2 linked regions of the Elephas maximus indicus genome follow. The protein of the gene in region 1 interacts with the protein of each later gene in a biochemical or structural test. Links are inferred from orthologs where the notes say so. Each region holds a gene or a part of one and is shown in the gene's direction. Other genes may lie near its edges.

Region 1 (7,153 bases):
TAGACATATTCACTTTTTTCTTTAAATTTTATTTATTTTGTTGTTGTTGTTGAGAATATACACAACAAAACATACACCAATTCAACAGTTTCTACACGTACCATTTAGTGTCATTGATTACGTTATTGAGTTGTGCAACCATTCTCACCCTCCTTTTCTGAGTTGTTCCTCTCTCATTAACATAAACTCACTGCCTCTTAAGATTCCCATCCAACCTTTCAAGTTGCTGTTTTCAATTTGATCCAATATAGATAGTACATTTTTTTTTTCAAAACAGACCTTTTTACTAGTTAAGCTAAACTATGGCTCGTTTTTAAGGTGATTCGCTTTTAAGAAGTAGAATATGGCAAAAGTGATGAGTGAAATGATACGGCTGCTGGGAAAAACAGTTTCCTCAAAAAGTTAAACGTAGAACTACTATATTACCCAGTATCTCAAACCTAGGCGTATAACCAAAAGAACTGAAAGCAGGAATGCAAACAGAGACTTGTACACCAATGTTCATTTTAGCACTTTTCGCAATAGCCAAAAGGTGAAAACAACCGAAATGTCCATCAAAGGATGAATGGATAAACAAAATGTGGTACATACATACAATGGAATATTACCCAACCATTGTTTAAGAGAAATGAAGACCTGATACACGCTGCAACATGGATGGACATTGAAAACATCATGGTGATCGAAATAAGTCAGTGGTAAAAGGACAAATACTCTATGATCTCACTTATATGAAATAACCAAAGATTACTAGTGGCTACCAGGGATGGGAGGGAAGGAAAAAGGGAGAGTTTTTGCTTAGGGGGGCATTGAGTTTATGTCAATGGTGGTGGAATAATTTGGAAAAAAGGTAACGAGAATAGTTGCGCGACTTGAAGAATGTAATCAGTGTTACTGAATTGTACATGTATAATTTATTGAGTTGGTGTATGTTTTACTATGTATATTTTCACCACAATTAAAAAAAAAAGTGATGGGATGTCATTTCCGAAATTAGGTTTTAAAAGACTGCGGGCTTCCATTTTAGGGCCTCTCTGCTTCCCTCTCTCTCACCAGCAGCTTTGTTGTGAGGCAGGAAGCCTATGAAGAGTCACAAGGCACAAAGAACCATGCACTAGGATGCTCTTTGAATCCTTACATATAATAGCACAAAACGGAAACAATTCAAGTAGAGGGAGAGACAAATAAATTGGAGAGTTTATACAATGGAAATCCATACGATAATATTTTATAGTAATAGCATATTGGGTAAGTCATACAATAGTACTCAACAGTTAAAATGACGAGCTCAATCTACATGTATCAAAAATGCTGTATTTCAAAAGAAATTGACTAAAAAAATAAATTTCAAAATGATATATTTATTACGATGCCATTTATGTAAACTAAAACACACAAAACAATAGTGCATTTTGCTTACTCTTATGTACATATGGAGAAAAAGAAAAAAACAGACAAGTAAGGTGAATAGGACGAAATGGGGGCTTCAGCTATAACATCGCGTTTCAAAAAAAGAAGGACCTGAAGATCGGAAAAAAAATAAAATTTTTACATTACTGTATGTTTGAAATATTTTTAATAAAAGAAAATGTATATTCTCAAGCACAAAAATACATATACATTAAAAAAATTTTTTAGATCAGTTTAATTGTGCTGTTCAAACTTTCTAGATCCTTATTTATTTTTCCAGTCTATTAGATCTACGGAGACCCTGGTGGCGTAGTGGTTAAGTGCTACAGCTGCTAACCATAAGGGTCGGCAGTTTGAATTCGCCAGGCGCTCCTTGGAAACTCTATGGGGCGGTTTTACTCTGTCCTATAGGGTCACTATGAGTCGGAATGCACTCAACAGCACTGGGTTTGGTTTTTTTTTTTTTTTTTAATTAGATCTATCGCTCTGGTTAAAGAGATCAACTGCTAACTGAAAGGTTGGTGGTTCAAAACCACGGGCGGCTCCTCGGCTCCTCCTCGGGGAAAAAGACGTGGCAGTCTGCTTCTCTAGAGATTTACAGCACTGGAAACCCTCTGGGGTCGCTATGAGTCAGAATCAACTCCATGGCAGTGTTTATATATACATATACACTGTCACGGATTGAATTATGTCCCCCCAAAAATGTGTGTATCAATTTGGCTGGGCCATGATTTCCAGGACTGTGTGTTGTCCTCCATTTTGTGATTATAATTTTATGTTAAAGAGGATTAGGGTGGGATTGTAGCACCCTTTTTTTACCCAGGTCACATTACTGATCCAAAATAAAGGGAGTTTTCCTGGGGTGTACCCTGCACCACCTTTAATCTCTCAAGAGATAAAAAGGAAAGGGAAGTAAACAAAGAGTTGGGGCCCTCATGCCACCAAGAAAGCAGCACAGGGAGCAGAGTGCATCCTTTGGACCTGGGGTTCCTGGGCCTGAGAAGCTCCTCGACCAGGGGAAGATTGATGACAAGGAATCTTCCTCCAGAGCAGACATAGAGAGAAAGCAGTCCCCTCGAGCTGACGCCCTAAATTTGGACTTGGAACCTACTAGACTGTGAGAGAATGAATTTCTCTTTGTTAAAGCCACGCACTTGTGGTATTTCTGTTATGGCAGCACTAGAAGACATATACCTAAAAGGGGTGTGGTTAAATGTCCCATGATAACTGCAGATTTCCTGATCTCCTTATATTTCTAGCAGTAGTTGCTTCATATATTTTGAAACTACATTCTTGGCACAAAAATTTAGTGACTATCATATCTTCTTAGTGAACAAAACCTTTCTTCTTTTCAATGCTTTTTACTTTGATTTCTTTTTCTGATATTAACATTGCTACATGTCTCTCTTTTGTTTGCTTGCTTGCTTGCTTATTTTGTGCTAGTACATAACAAGTATATATTTTTCTTTCCTATTTCTGCCTTAAGAACCCTGGTGGCGGAATGGTTAAGCAGTCGGCTACTGAGGGAAAGGTCAGCAGTGGCTCTGCAGGAGAAAAGAGCTGGTGATCTGCTCCCGTAAAAACTAAAGAAGAGGAAATCCTATGAGGCGGTTCTACTCTGTCATATAGGGTCACTACTAGTTGGAATTGACTCAATGGCACACAGCAGTGAAAATTCCTGCCTTAGGTGAAACTCACAATAAACATCCTGTCCTTTTGTTTTCTTTTCACATGCTTTCTTGTTGCCCCTCCCATTTCTTGCCCTTGGTTAGGCTGAGTTTTTCTCTTTGTTCCATACATTATTTCCCTAATGGTTTGAAAGTTATACAGCCTATTTCTCTTCTGTTGTTATCCTTAAATTTTTTGTTTTTCTATTATGAATTTTATTTCCAGTAAGAACAAAACTTCGCTACCCTTGTGAACATAGGAATTCTTCACATTTGATGCAAATGTTAGAGGTTCATTATAAAGTGCAATTTCATAAAAAGAGTTCAGAGTTCAGTAATATTGAATAAATCCAAAAAGCAGAGCTACGGTGTTTTTTTTAACTGCAATACAATTACCAGAATGTGAACCCATGTTGTGCTTCACGATCATTTCTTTTGGATAGAGATGCTTGATTTTGTGATTAACAGCAACAGCTCTTTACAAGAGCTTCAATTTAAAAATGTAAGCTTCCTGGAACCTTAAATATAGTTTCACATTTTTAATAGTTCCAATTCAAACCATAACATAGACCGTAGGATAACCCATTGCCATTGATGTCGAGTGGATTCCTACTCATAGCCACCCCACTGGAAAAAGCACAACTGCCCCAAAGCGTTTCCACAGCTGAAATCTTCAAGGAAGAGGTTGCCACACCTCCCGCAGAGTGCTGGTGGGTTCGAACTGTCGACCTTTCTGTTACAGCTGAGTGCTTAACCACTGCGACACCAGGGATCCTTCGACCATAGAATATGATATATTAATATGATTGCGTTCACATTGGAATGAATCAGAAACAATCTGAAAATTTTATCTTGTTAAAAAAAAAAAAGGGAACAGGGCTAAATGCTTAACATTTTAGAAATCTGGATTTTTACATTTTTCGCTGTCTGTATCTTTGACGATTCTTCATTTAAAATGAAATAATGCCTGCAGGCTCACCCCGATTTGTCCAGGGCTGCTGCGGCCCCCGCCACATCAAGGGGGCGGGCTCCAGTCAACGCCACAATCACTTCCGCCGCCTCAGCCGCCGCCGCCGCCACCGCCACCACCGCCGCCGCCGCTGCCGCCACCGCCACCACCGCTGCCGCAGCACGTCCCCGCTGCTGTCTGGCGGGTTGGAGCTGGAGACCCAGGAGCAGCGGCTCTGGCGGTCGTGGCGGTCGGAGGTGCGACAGCTCTGTTGCCCCGAAGATCTTGCGGGTGTCCGGACTGGGTGAGTAAAGGGCTATCTATGTCCTCGGTCCATCTACAGGCTGGCAGTAGGTGAGTGGCCAGCCATGGGGGCGAGTGGCTGGGCGCCGAGGCGAGGATTTTGGGGGGTTCTAGCGAGCGGGTTTTCAGGTTCGCCCCCTCGGGAAGGGGTGGGGCGGACGCGGGACCTGACTGCAGAGTGAGGCCTGTGTCCTCCATCAGCCTGTTCAGGGGCTCCATCTTGCATTTCTCATCCCTGGTGGCGTAGCCTCCGCTCGAATGGCTCTAATCGATATTTGAGAGGGGGGGTGGTGGTCTCTGCCCTCTCCCACTTCTCTCCTTCGCGTCCTCTGTTTCCTCTCCTCCATCCCTTTGCAGAATACCCCATGGCCTGTCTTCCTCCATTTGCCTGTTGTTTTGCGAAATGGTAAATGGTTAAGATTGTTTTTAGGTAAAAAATATCTTTCTCAGGGAAGGAACTGTCAGAAGAAAAAAAATATTCCCAGGGAAAAACTATAGCCAGCCCTTTTCTCCCCGCCCCCCCACCCCCAATTCCCTGCCGTTTGAGCTGATAACGTTTTCCTCTCGTTTCCCGTTATGACATTGCTGGCCCCCTTCTCCTCCCCATTTCGAGCTGCTGCATACGCACACAGAAATCTTCCATTGCAGCCCCTTTCCCCTTTATACTCTAGGTTCCAGCGCTTTCCCTCTCCTGCACATGCGTAGGGGTGTGTGTGTGTGTGTGTGTGTGTGTGTGTGTGTACACACACTTATATGCATGTATTTGTGTAATACGTATACATACACCCACGCACTCTCTCTCTCTGTCTCATACACACACTCTCTCCCCCCACTTCCAGCCCCTCACTGCCTGCCACATACACACCTCCAGGACCTCCTCTCTTTGCATCTGTGTGCTCTAGCAAACACACACACACACACACTCACTCTCTCTCTCCCTCCTCCTCCCTCCTTCCCTCCCTCTCCCTCTCTCCCTCCCTCTCCCTCTCTCTCTCTCTCTTACCCGCACACACCCTCTCCTCTCCGCGGCTGCCACATACGCACATGAGACACCTGTCTATTGCTGGCTCTTCTTTTGGATGCCCCTTACATACATATACTCTCACACACACCTTTCACACAACCCCCTCAAGTGCTCTCCTCTCCTGTTCCCTTGTCTCCCACATTTGTGCGTAGACATCCCTCATCTGCTGGTCCTCACGGGTGCACACACTCACACTTACATAAATCTTTCTCTAGGGACACCACCCCCCTCCCTGCTTGCTATAGTCACACAAACAGACATTCTTTGTTGTCCTTGTTCCACTCATCACACACACTTCCCCTCTCCAGGGCCACCCCTTGCCTGCTGCATTTGCTCGCACTGATGTTTCTCCATTGCTGCCTCCCATTTTGACAAACACTCACACAAACTCATCGACACCACCTCCAGTACTACCGTACCCTTCCTTGCCTGCCACATACACTGGAACACACGCATCCCCCCATACATATCCACCTGCCACACATGCAGCTACACACACACACACCCACACACTCTTTTTTCTCTCGTACTTACACAGACCCCTCTTCTCTGAAGCCACCCCACCCATGCCTGTCATTTTCACACCCACATCCAGAGTGAGTATTATTCTGTCTGACACTCACATCCCTTCCCAGTGCATCTGTTGCCTGCCCCTCCTCACTGCAGACAGACATCCATCCCTTCATGGTGGGATTGCTGGCCCACCTTCCACCTGCCCCTTTCCTCCTGACAGGCACGTACACACATACTCGTGCACGTGCACACACAGTGATCCATATCTTCCACTCTATTCCAATTCGCATTTCTCCTATATGTCTGCAGGGTCAAAAAAATGCAGGCACCCCATAAAAAATAAACAAAACAATAACCATAGCGGTCTTTCTTCTGCCCACATTGGTACAGTTCCACAGTATTTCACCCGCCTTCCAAATGTCCAGTCTCCCCCACCTTCTGTCGATTCTCTTTTTAAGTCTGGCTTTCCTACAAACGCAGTTTTGTAATCATTTTGCCAACATTAAAAATGTGTTCCAGGTCTACACACCTGACAGTCACTGGAATGCTACTCCAGGCCTTAGAAGAAAGTGAAACTAATTTTAAAGGCCCCGTATTCTTTCTGTTACCTGCCTGCTGAAGTGAAAATAAATCTCCTTGCTCCTTTTATTCTGAACTGATTTGACTGTCCCATCTCAAAAGCGTGTGCAAGGAGCAGCAGGACCCACGCGCCAGCTGTACTGGAAACCTTCCTAAGTCAGAGCAATGGGTCAGGAATCTAGCAAGCCTGTATGGCCCAAACCAGCAGGAGGGTATCAGTCCAATACAGGCAGGAGATATGGAAGAAGGCATGCTTATGTCAGTTTCAGGCCATCCGCGAGCCAGCAGGAAAGAATTTCCAGCCAGAGAAAGACGGCATCTGAAGTCCCGATGCCCGGATCAGCCCCCAGTCAAATCACCAAGAGAAGCCGATCACCATTTTCTGCCACTCATCGTAGCTGGGATGACAGTGAGAGCTCAGGAAGCAGCCTGAATGTTGATAATGAGGACTATTCCAGATATCTGCCAAGAGAGTACAGGGCTTCAGGTGGCAGAAGAGGAATGGCTTATGGACATATTGACTCCTTTGGGGCTGATGATAGTGAGGAGGAGGGGGCTGGGCCTGTTGAGCGACCACCAGGAAGAGGGGAAACTGGAAAGTTTAAAGATGATAAGCTGTATGACTCAGAGAAAGGGGCAAGGTCTTTGGCTGGGCAGCCACCACAGTTGTCTAGTTTTAACCATGATGTGAGAGAGGAGATTAACGAG
Region 2 (6,978 bases), on another chromosome or scaffold:
CAGAGAAGCTCCTGGTCCAGGGGATGATTAATGACAAGGACCTTCCTCTAGAGCCGACAGAGAAGGCCTTCCCTTGGAGCTGAGGCCCTGAATTCGGACTTCTAGCCTATTAAGACTGTAAGAGAATAGATTTCTCTTTGTTAAAGCCATCTACTTGTGGTATTTCTACTATAGCAGCACTAGATAACTAAGACAGTTATCAAGGGTACAAAAAGACACGAAGGAAACTTAAATGCATATTGCTAAAAGAAGCCAGTCTGAAAAAGCTACGTACAGTATGACTCTAATTATATGATATTCTGGAAAAGGCAAAACGAAAGAGACAGATCAATGGTTGCCAGGAGTTGGGGGGTGAGGGGTAGAGGAGAGATGAACAGGAGGACCACAGGGCATTTTTAGGGCAGTGAAACTATTTATATGATACTGTAATGGGGGACACATGACATGATGCATTTGTCTAAACCTATAGGACTATACAACACAAAGAGTGAAACTTGATAACTATGGACTTTAGTTAATAATAATGTGTCAATATTGGTTAATCAGTTCTAAAAATTGTACCACAGGAATGGAAGATGTTAATAATAAGAGAAACTGCAGGGCAGGAAGGGTGTATGAGGGAACGCTGTTCTTTCTGCACACTTTCTCCATAAACTTAAAAAAGTATGCTTAAAAAAAAAAACACTATGTGCTAGATGTTCTCCTCAAAACAACCTTGTGTGCTAAATATCATCTCGTCATATAGATGATGTCAGTATTAAAAAAACAATAACAGGTTTAAAATAGCCCCACACACACAAAAAAGAAAGTCTAAGAAGAGGCTTCCAACCAAATGGCTGTAGTGCTTGGAAATGCCCTGTCTCATCAAAATCCACCTCCCCACGCCTTCCACCAGACAAGGAATGCACTGTTGCTGCTTAATTAAAATATTCTTCCAAGAGGGATAAATATTAGGTAGTCTATCATGTGGTCTAATCCAGGAAGATCTTTGTTAGGACCCAGTAGATACAATCAAGAGAGATTTTATTGCCAACCATTAAAATATACGCATGGGAGAGGGGGCCTGGAGGCCCTAGGTAGTGCAGACAGTTAAGTGCTCATTTACTAGCCGAAAACTTGGCAGTTCTAACCCACCCAGAGGTGCCACGGAAGACAGGCCTGGGTGATCTACTTAGGAAAGGTCACAGCCTTGAAAACCTTATAGAGCAGTTCTATGCTGCATACACGGGGTTGCCATGAGTGGAATTGACTAGATGGCTTCTAACAACAACAACAGTAATAGTATGAAGGCCAGAAGCATGGAGCGTTTGAGTATTTTTTAACACTTGTCTTTATATTTCACTGCCTGAACAGGAAACCACAAACGCCCTATCAGATCACCCTGAAGGTACATGACTGGTATGCCATGATGTCACTGGGAAGTTAAGCTTCATTAAAAATATATTTCTCATTTATCTCCCAAGCAAAAAAATCACGATTGAATTTTATTTTTAAAATAACTTTAACAGCACCTTGATATACACATCTGTGTTCTTCCAGACGTTTTTCTGATTTGCGTTTCACTGCAGTAGACATCTTTCTATGTACAGTATTGTGCAGTCATCAAATATTTCCCTTAACATGACTCCCAGAAGGGAGCCAATCATTACAGACAACTCTGCCAGGGCCTGTGAGAGGTGCTTCAAAAACCCATTTCACTTAATGACCTGAACCCAGCATTATTACTCTCATTTGGTTGACATGGAAGCTGAAACTTGGGGTGTCCGTAGCCTTCCAGTGTCATACAGGCTTTTAATCTAGGTCCATCTGATTCCAAAACCTTAACTTTTTCAACGACATCATGTCTATATTCTCTCTACATCAACATATGGTTCATAAGATCAGTCTCTGGAGGCAGACATCCTAATCCTAAGTTCAGATCCCACATCTACCGCTTATTTGCTGTGCGACCTTAAGACAGTGCTGAATCTTCTCTGTGCCTCAGTTTCTTCATCTGAGTGAAGAGGAAGGTAACAAATGCAGACCTCATTGGGTTGTGGAGATTAAAAGAATACACGTAAATCACCTGGAACAGGGTTTGACCGTATTATACCTTTTTACAATCATTAGTTATCGTCATGTACATTACTGTGTTTTCATTGCCATCATCACCACCACAGTCTCTCCCCAAATACCCATGGCCTTCAGTAATTATCTGAGGTGAGGTGAGGATGTCTTCTCTCTGCAGTGCCTGAAATCCTATTTTGTCACCTGCATTTTTCTGGAATGCAGCCCTGATGATGAAGTGGTTAAGCGCTTGGCTGCTGAAAGGTCACTGGTTTATACCCACCAGGCACTCTGCAGAACAAAGATAAGACAGTCTGTTTCCATAAAGATTAAACCAAAAAACCAAACCAAACCCACTGCCATCAAGTCGATTCCGACTCATAGTGACCTTATAGGACAGTGTAGAACTGCCCCATGGGGTTTCTATAAAGATTACAGCCTTGGAAACTCTATGTGGCAGTTCTGCTCTGTCCCATAAAAAAAAAAAAAAAAAGTTGGAATTGCCTCGATGGCAATGGTTTTGGTCTTGGTATTTTTCTGGAAGAAGGGTAGAGGTGTTTTAAGACTTAGAAGTAGTGTCTTTTCTCAGCCATTCTGAGCAATGACCATGTGCTATCTGAGGAAGAGGTCACTGAAGGGCAGTGCTAATGTTCACAGAGTCATGGGGGAGCCTGAGAGCTGGGGCTGCTTGGGAATTTAAACGAATACCTTATCAAGAACAAACTCCGAAGAGCTAGCCCAGCTGTCGACAGTGGCTTTCATCTTTTTATTTTCCATTTCTCCTTTATCTTTTGGTTGCTGAAATTTTTTACTCAGGATACAGCTGATCCTTGTGGAGAGACATTCTGTAGAATTCTAGATTATAGGAGACTCCTTTGAACTTGAGTCTGAATTTTAATTTGCAAAGAAACTTTGAAGCAGATGCATTTTCTCATTGTAAAAAAAAAAAAAAAAAAGACTGCTTGATGATCTGTTTTTCTTAGTAGGCGTCCCTCCCTAAGATTGATTCTTGGGGATATGTTGCTGGATCTTGTGTGGAACAGAAAGTTATTACTAGTAGCTTACCAGACTTGTAGCATATTTGCATCACAACGTGGAATATCATTTTACATTTAGTATTGCAATTCCAATGCCTTTATCAGATTGCATTTTCATATTGGATTACAAAAATTTCATACTACTAACATTTAATGAAATTTTAATAAGGTGGTGTTTTGATATTATTATTCAAATAGTCTGTTCTGAATTGCTTTCCTTTGAATATATCTGCATTAAAGAGGAACTCAACGTGATTTGGTTCTTCACAGAATTTACCCACTTTGTAGAGTAGCTTTAAAAACGCCAAAAGGGAAATTCAGTTTCTTCCTCACAAGTCCATAAATAAAGAAGGAACACACTGCTAAGATCTATATAAGTAATGGGGGCATAATTGCTGGTTCAAGTTAATGAAATGGCTCTTTTTTGGCTATTAAAGAGTTGCACAATTAAAATATATACACACAGCACACACATCATAGATTATGAGGGATGATACCCCTGGGTTCTCTTTTCTTTCTCATTGAGCCTGAAGGCTGATATATTTATTTTTCAGAAATTTAAGAGATTTACATTATCGCATTTCTTGATCAGTGATGCCCAAAATTAAATGGTAATCTCCAGACAGAGTATGTTTCTCCGTAGTATCCTTCTTACCCATTTCTGCTAAAATTGTCCTTGCGGTCCCAAGGCAGTTTACATGAACGTGTGCCTTCCAAAAGATAAACTCAGCTGACCAAGCAAAAAAATTGCACTGAACAGGTTTTGTGTAGTGGTTTTGTCATAATTGTCTAGCTGACGTAATTTAACATAGAGAACACTGAAAGAGAGAAAAGAAGGAAAAATTCCTACTTTCGAGGAAACCCTTCTTTTACCGAACACTTGTTCTTAATCGACTCTTAGGGACATTAGAGAAGGAAACTAGCGGTAATAGTTCAACAGAAGCCGTCACCCTGGAGTTGATTCCAACTCTTAGCGACCCTATAGGACAGAGAACAGCCCCATGGGGTTTCCAAGGAGCGGCTGGTGGATTCCAACCGCCGGTAACCCACTGCCATCGAGTCGATTCCGACTCAGAGGAGGGAGTGGCGAGGTCAGAGCCTCCCTGAGGCAAATCAGAAGCCCTCAGGCTCGCTCACTCTTTTTGCGCCTCCCTGTAGAAATACATGTCTTTCCTCTACCTTTCACCGAGCCCTGGTGGCGCAGTGGCAAAGCGCTCGGCTGCTAACCAGAGATGGGCGGTTGGAATGCAGCAGCCGCTTCTCTGAAACCCTATAGGGCAGTTCTACTCTGTTCTGTAGGGTCGCTATGAGGCAGAATGGGCAGGGTCTCAGCGGGTTTGGTTGCCTTTCACGGCCTTACCTTCCCCTTCACCTCGATTTTCGCCTACATTGATCCTTTGGGTTCCCTCCTTTCACAAATATTCCCGACTTTAAAGTTCTTAATTTTTCTAGAGAGCCTGTTAAATTTGCCTGGACCTGTTTGGTCCTGAATTCAGCAGCACACTTGTTTAGGACTTTCGGTCCTGTTCTCTATTTGTGTTGTTCGGTAAGGACGGACAACAAGTTTAAGTCTAGTAACCGCCACCGCTCCCGCCCGCAGACAGCCCGCGGCTGCGCAGAAACCGCCGCCGCCGGCCCGCGGACGTCCGGGACGCAGTGCGCAGACTCCGCCGACTCGACGCAGCGCTCCGCCCCCGGACCCGCCCACCGGCGCAGGGCTCCGCCCCGGGCCCGCCCACCGACGCAGCGCTCCGCCCTCGGCCCCGCCCAGTCTCGCCCCGAGGCGGATAACGCCGACCCACAATGCCCCGCGCACGCGCGCTGGGATCCCGCCGCCGCCGGTCGCTGGAGCTTTGCTAGCGGCCAGTGTCCGAGCCGGCGTCCGGCCTCAGTAGCCAGATAGCATGTTGCAGAAGTCGAGGGTCCGGGGACGCCCTGGGGCCCCGACGGAGCGGGAGCGGGAGGGCGGCCGCGGCGGAGACAGCCGGCGCCCGCGGGGCGGCGCGGCCGACGAGGCCCCGAGCACCTCCCGCGGGCCGGGCGGCTCGCAGGAGGCCCCCGGCACCGGGTCCCCGGGCGCCCGCTCGGCCCTGGCCGCCCCCGCCGTGGGGCCCAGGTCCCAGAAGCAGCTGGAGGTGAAGGTGGCCGAGCTGGTGCAGTTCTTGCTGATTAAGGACCAGAAGAAGATGCCGGTCAAGCGGACCGAGCTCCTGAGACACGTCGTGGGGGACTACAAGGACGTCTTCCCCGACCTGCTCAGGCTCGCCGCCCAGCGCCTCGAGTACGTCTTCGGGTACAGGCTGGTGGAGCTGGAGCCCAAGAGCAGCACGTACGTCCTGGTCAACACCCTGGAGCCGGTGGAGGAGGACGCGGAGGTGAGAGGGGACCAGGGCACGCCCGGCGCCGGCCTGCTGATGATCGTCTTGGGGCTCATCTTCATGAGGGGCCACACCATCAAGGAGACGGAGGTCTGGGACTTCCTGCGGCGCCTAGGGGTGCACCCCACCAAGAGGCATTCGGTGTTCGGGGACCCGAAGAAGCTCATCACCGAGGACTTTGTGCGCCAGCGTTACCTGGAGTACCGACGGTTACCCCACACTGATCCTGTGGACTATGAATTGCAGTGGGGCCCGCGCACCAACCTGGAAACTACCAAGATGAAAGTCCTTAAGTTTGTGGCCAAAATCCATAACCAAGACCCCAAGGACTGGCCCGTGCAGTACTGTGAGGCTTTGGCAGACGAGGCGGCCAGGGCCAGACCTCAGCCCGGTGTCCCAGCCCCCTCCTCGTGAAGTCCCAGGTAGACTCAGAGGGACTCCTGGGAGGAGGATCCGAGGCCGAAGAGGTGGGGGTGGGAAATAGTTCTGTGACGCTTGACTAGCTTGCGAAGATGTGTTCGTGTTTATTTTGCTAAATTACTTGGTTCCAAATCTACATGTGTAAGGAATTGCTTTGCTTTGTTGTATAGTCTATATTTTTTTGATATAAGAAAATGTTACTACTTCGTAAAACTGATCGTAACATTTCGTGCCCTGTTCTGAAACATATGTAAGAAAAAACACATCAGTAAATTGCTTTGGTGCCAAGTAAAAAACCACAGAGGTATTCTCTGGCCTCTTTACCCCAGTTTGAAGGGAAAAATAAAAAGTCATTATAAATTAAAGTGTAATTGCCTGTATTGTTGTTACCTTAACACAGTCATTGTATTTTTATATGTTTTACGTATTTAAGCATTTTTGGTGGTTCCAAGGAATATATCTTCAGTATTTTCTCTGAAAATATTTATCTTTCTGTATAATATTCATAGTAATTATCTAGCTGGGTTGCTGACAGTTAAGTTCCACTTAGATTTTATCCTTTTTTTCTTTTTCGCTATTACTGTTACTGTAATAAACACTATTTTTGAAGCAGTTAAGCAGTGTGTGTTTTTTTAATCATGTGTCGTGAGAAATTCATTTTGGCTGGAAACCAGCATCTTAAATAGAAATGAAAAAGACAGTTTGTGCTACATACAGTAACATGAGTAGAGTTTTACAGACCTTTCACTTTAATGTGTGTAAATGTGCATCACACTTTTCACTGTGGGTCACAGAAGACTTTGTGAAACTGTAGTGATTGACCAGGCCTGACCAGGAATCAGCCTGCTTGGGTTCAAATCCTGGCCCCCACCTCTAACTAACTGTAAAAGCTTAGATGGGTTACTTAACCTGGGTATAGGTGTTTCCTCACCTGTAAAATGAGGCTGATGTTGGATATATCATGTGTGATAATTAGATGTGACACACTGCCTGCCGTGGAGGATTTTGGCTGTTATTCCTTAAATTTTTTGAAAATTTGTGTTTTGTTCTTGGTCTGGAGCTGTGGTGGTGCAGTGGTTAAGAGCTCAGCTGCTAAG

What was found. The genes of interacting proteins can lie anywhere in the genome.
Region 2: the proteins of PJA1 (region 1) and NSMCE3 form a complex in vitro, tested with the Homo sapiens proteins (2 studies listed by BioGRID). The link is inferred for Elephas maximus indicus from reciprocal best matches to the Homo sapiens genes PJA1 and NSMCE3.

What each region holds. Positions count from the first base shown.
Region 1 is NC_064846.1:101,442,627-101,449,779, forward strand, and holds the start of PJA1 (E3 ubiquitin-protein ligase Praja-1), read left to right. Parts: upstream 1-4,135; 5' UTR 4,136-4,330; intron 4,331-6,385; 5' UTR 6,386-6,610; coding exon 6,611-7,153. UniProt on the Homo sapiens protein: Has E2-dependent E3 ubiquitin-protein ligase activity. Ubiquitinates MAGED1 antigen leading to its subsequent degradation by proteasome. May be involved in protein sorting.
Region 2 is NC_064831.1:94,936,002-94,942,979, forward strand, and holds NSMCE3 (non-structural maintenance of chromosomes element 3 homolog), read left to right. Parts: upstream 1-4,865; 5' UTR 4,866-4,987; coding exon 4,988-5,875; 3' UTR 5,876-6,468; downstream 6,469-6,978. UniProt on the Homo sapiens protein: Component of the SMC5-SMC6 complex, a complex involved in repair of DNA double-strand breaks by homologous recombination. The complex may promote sister chromatid homologous recombination by recruiting the SMC1-SMC3 cohesin complex to double-strand breaks.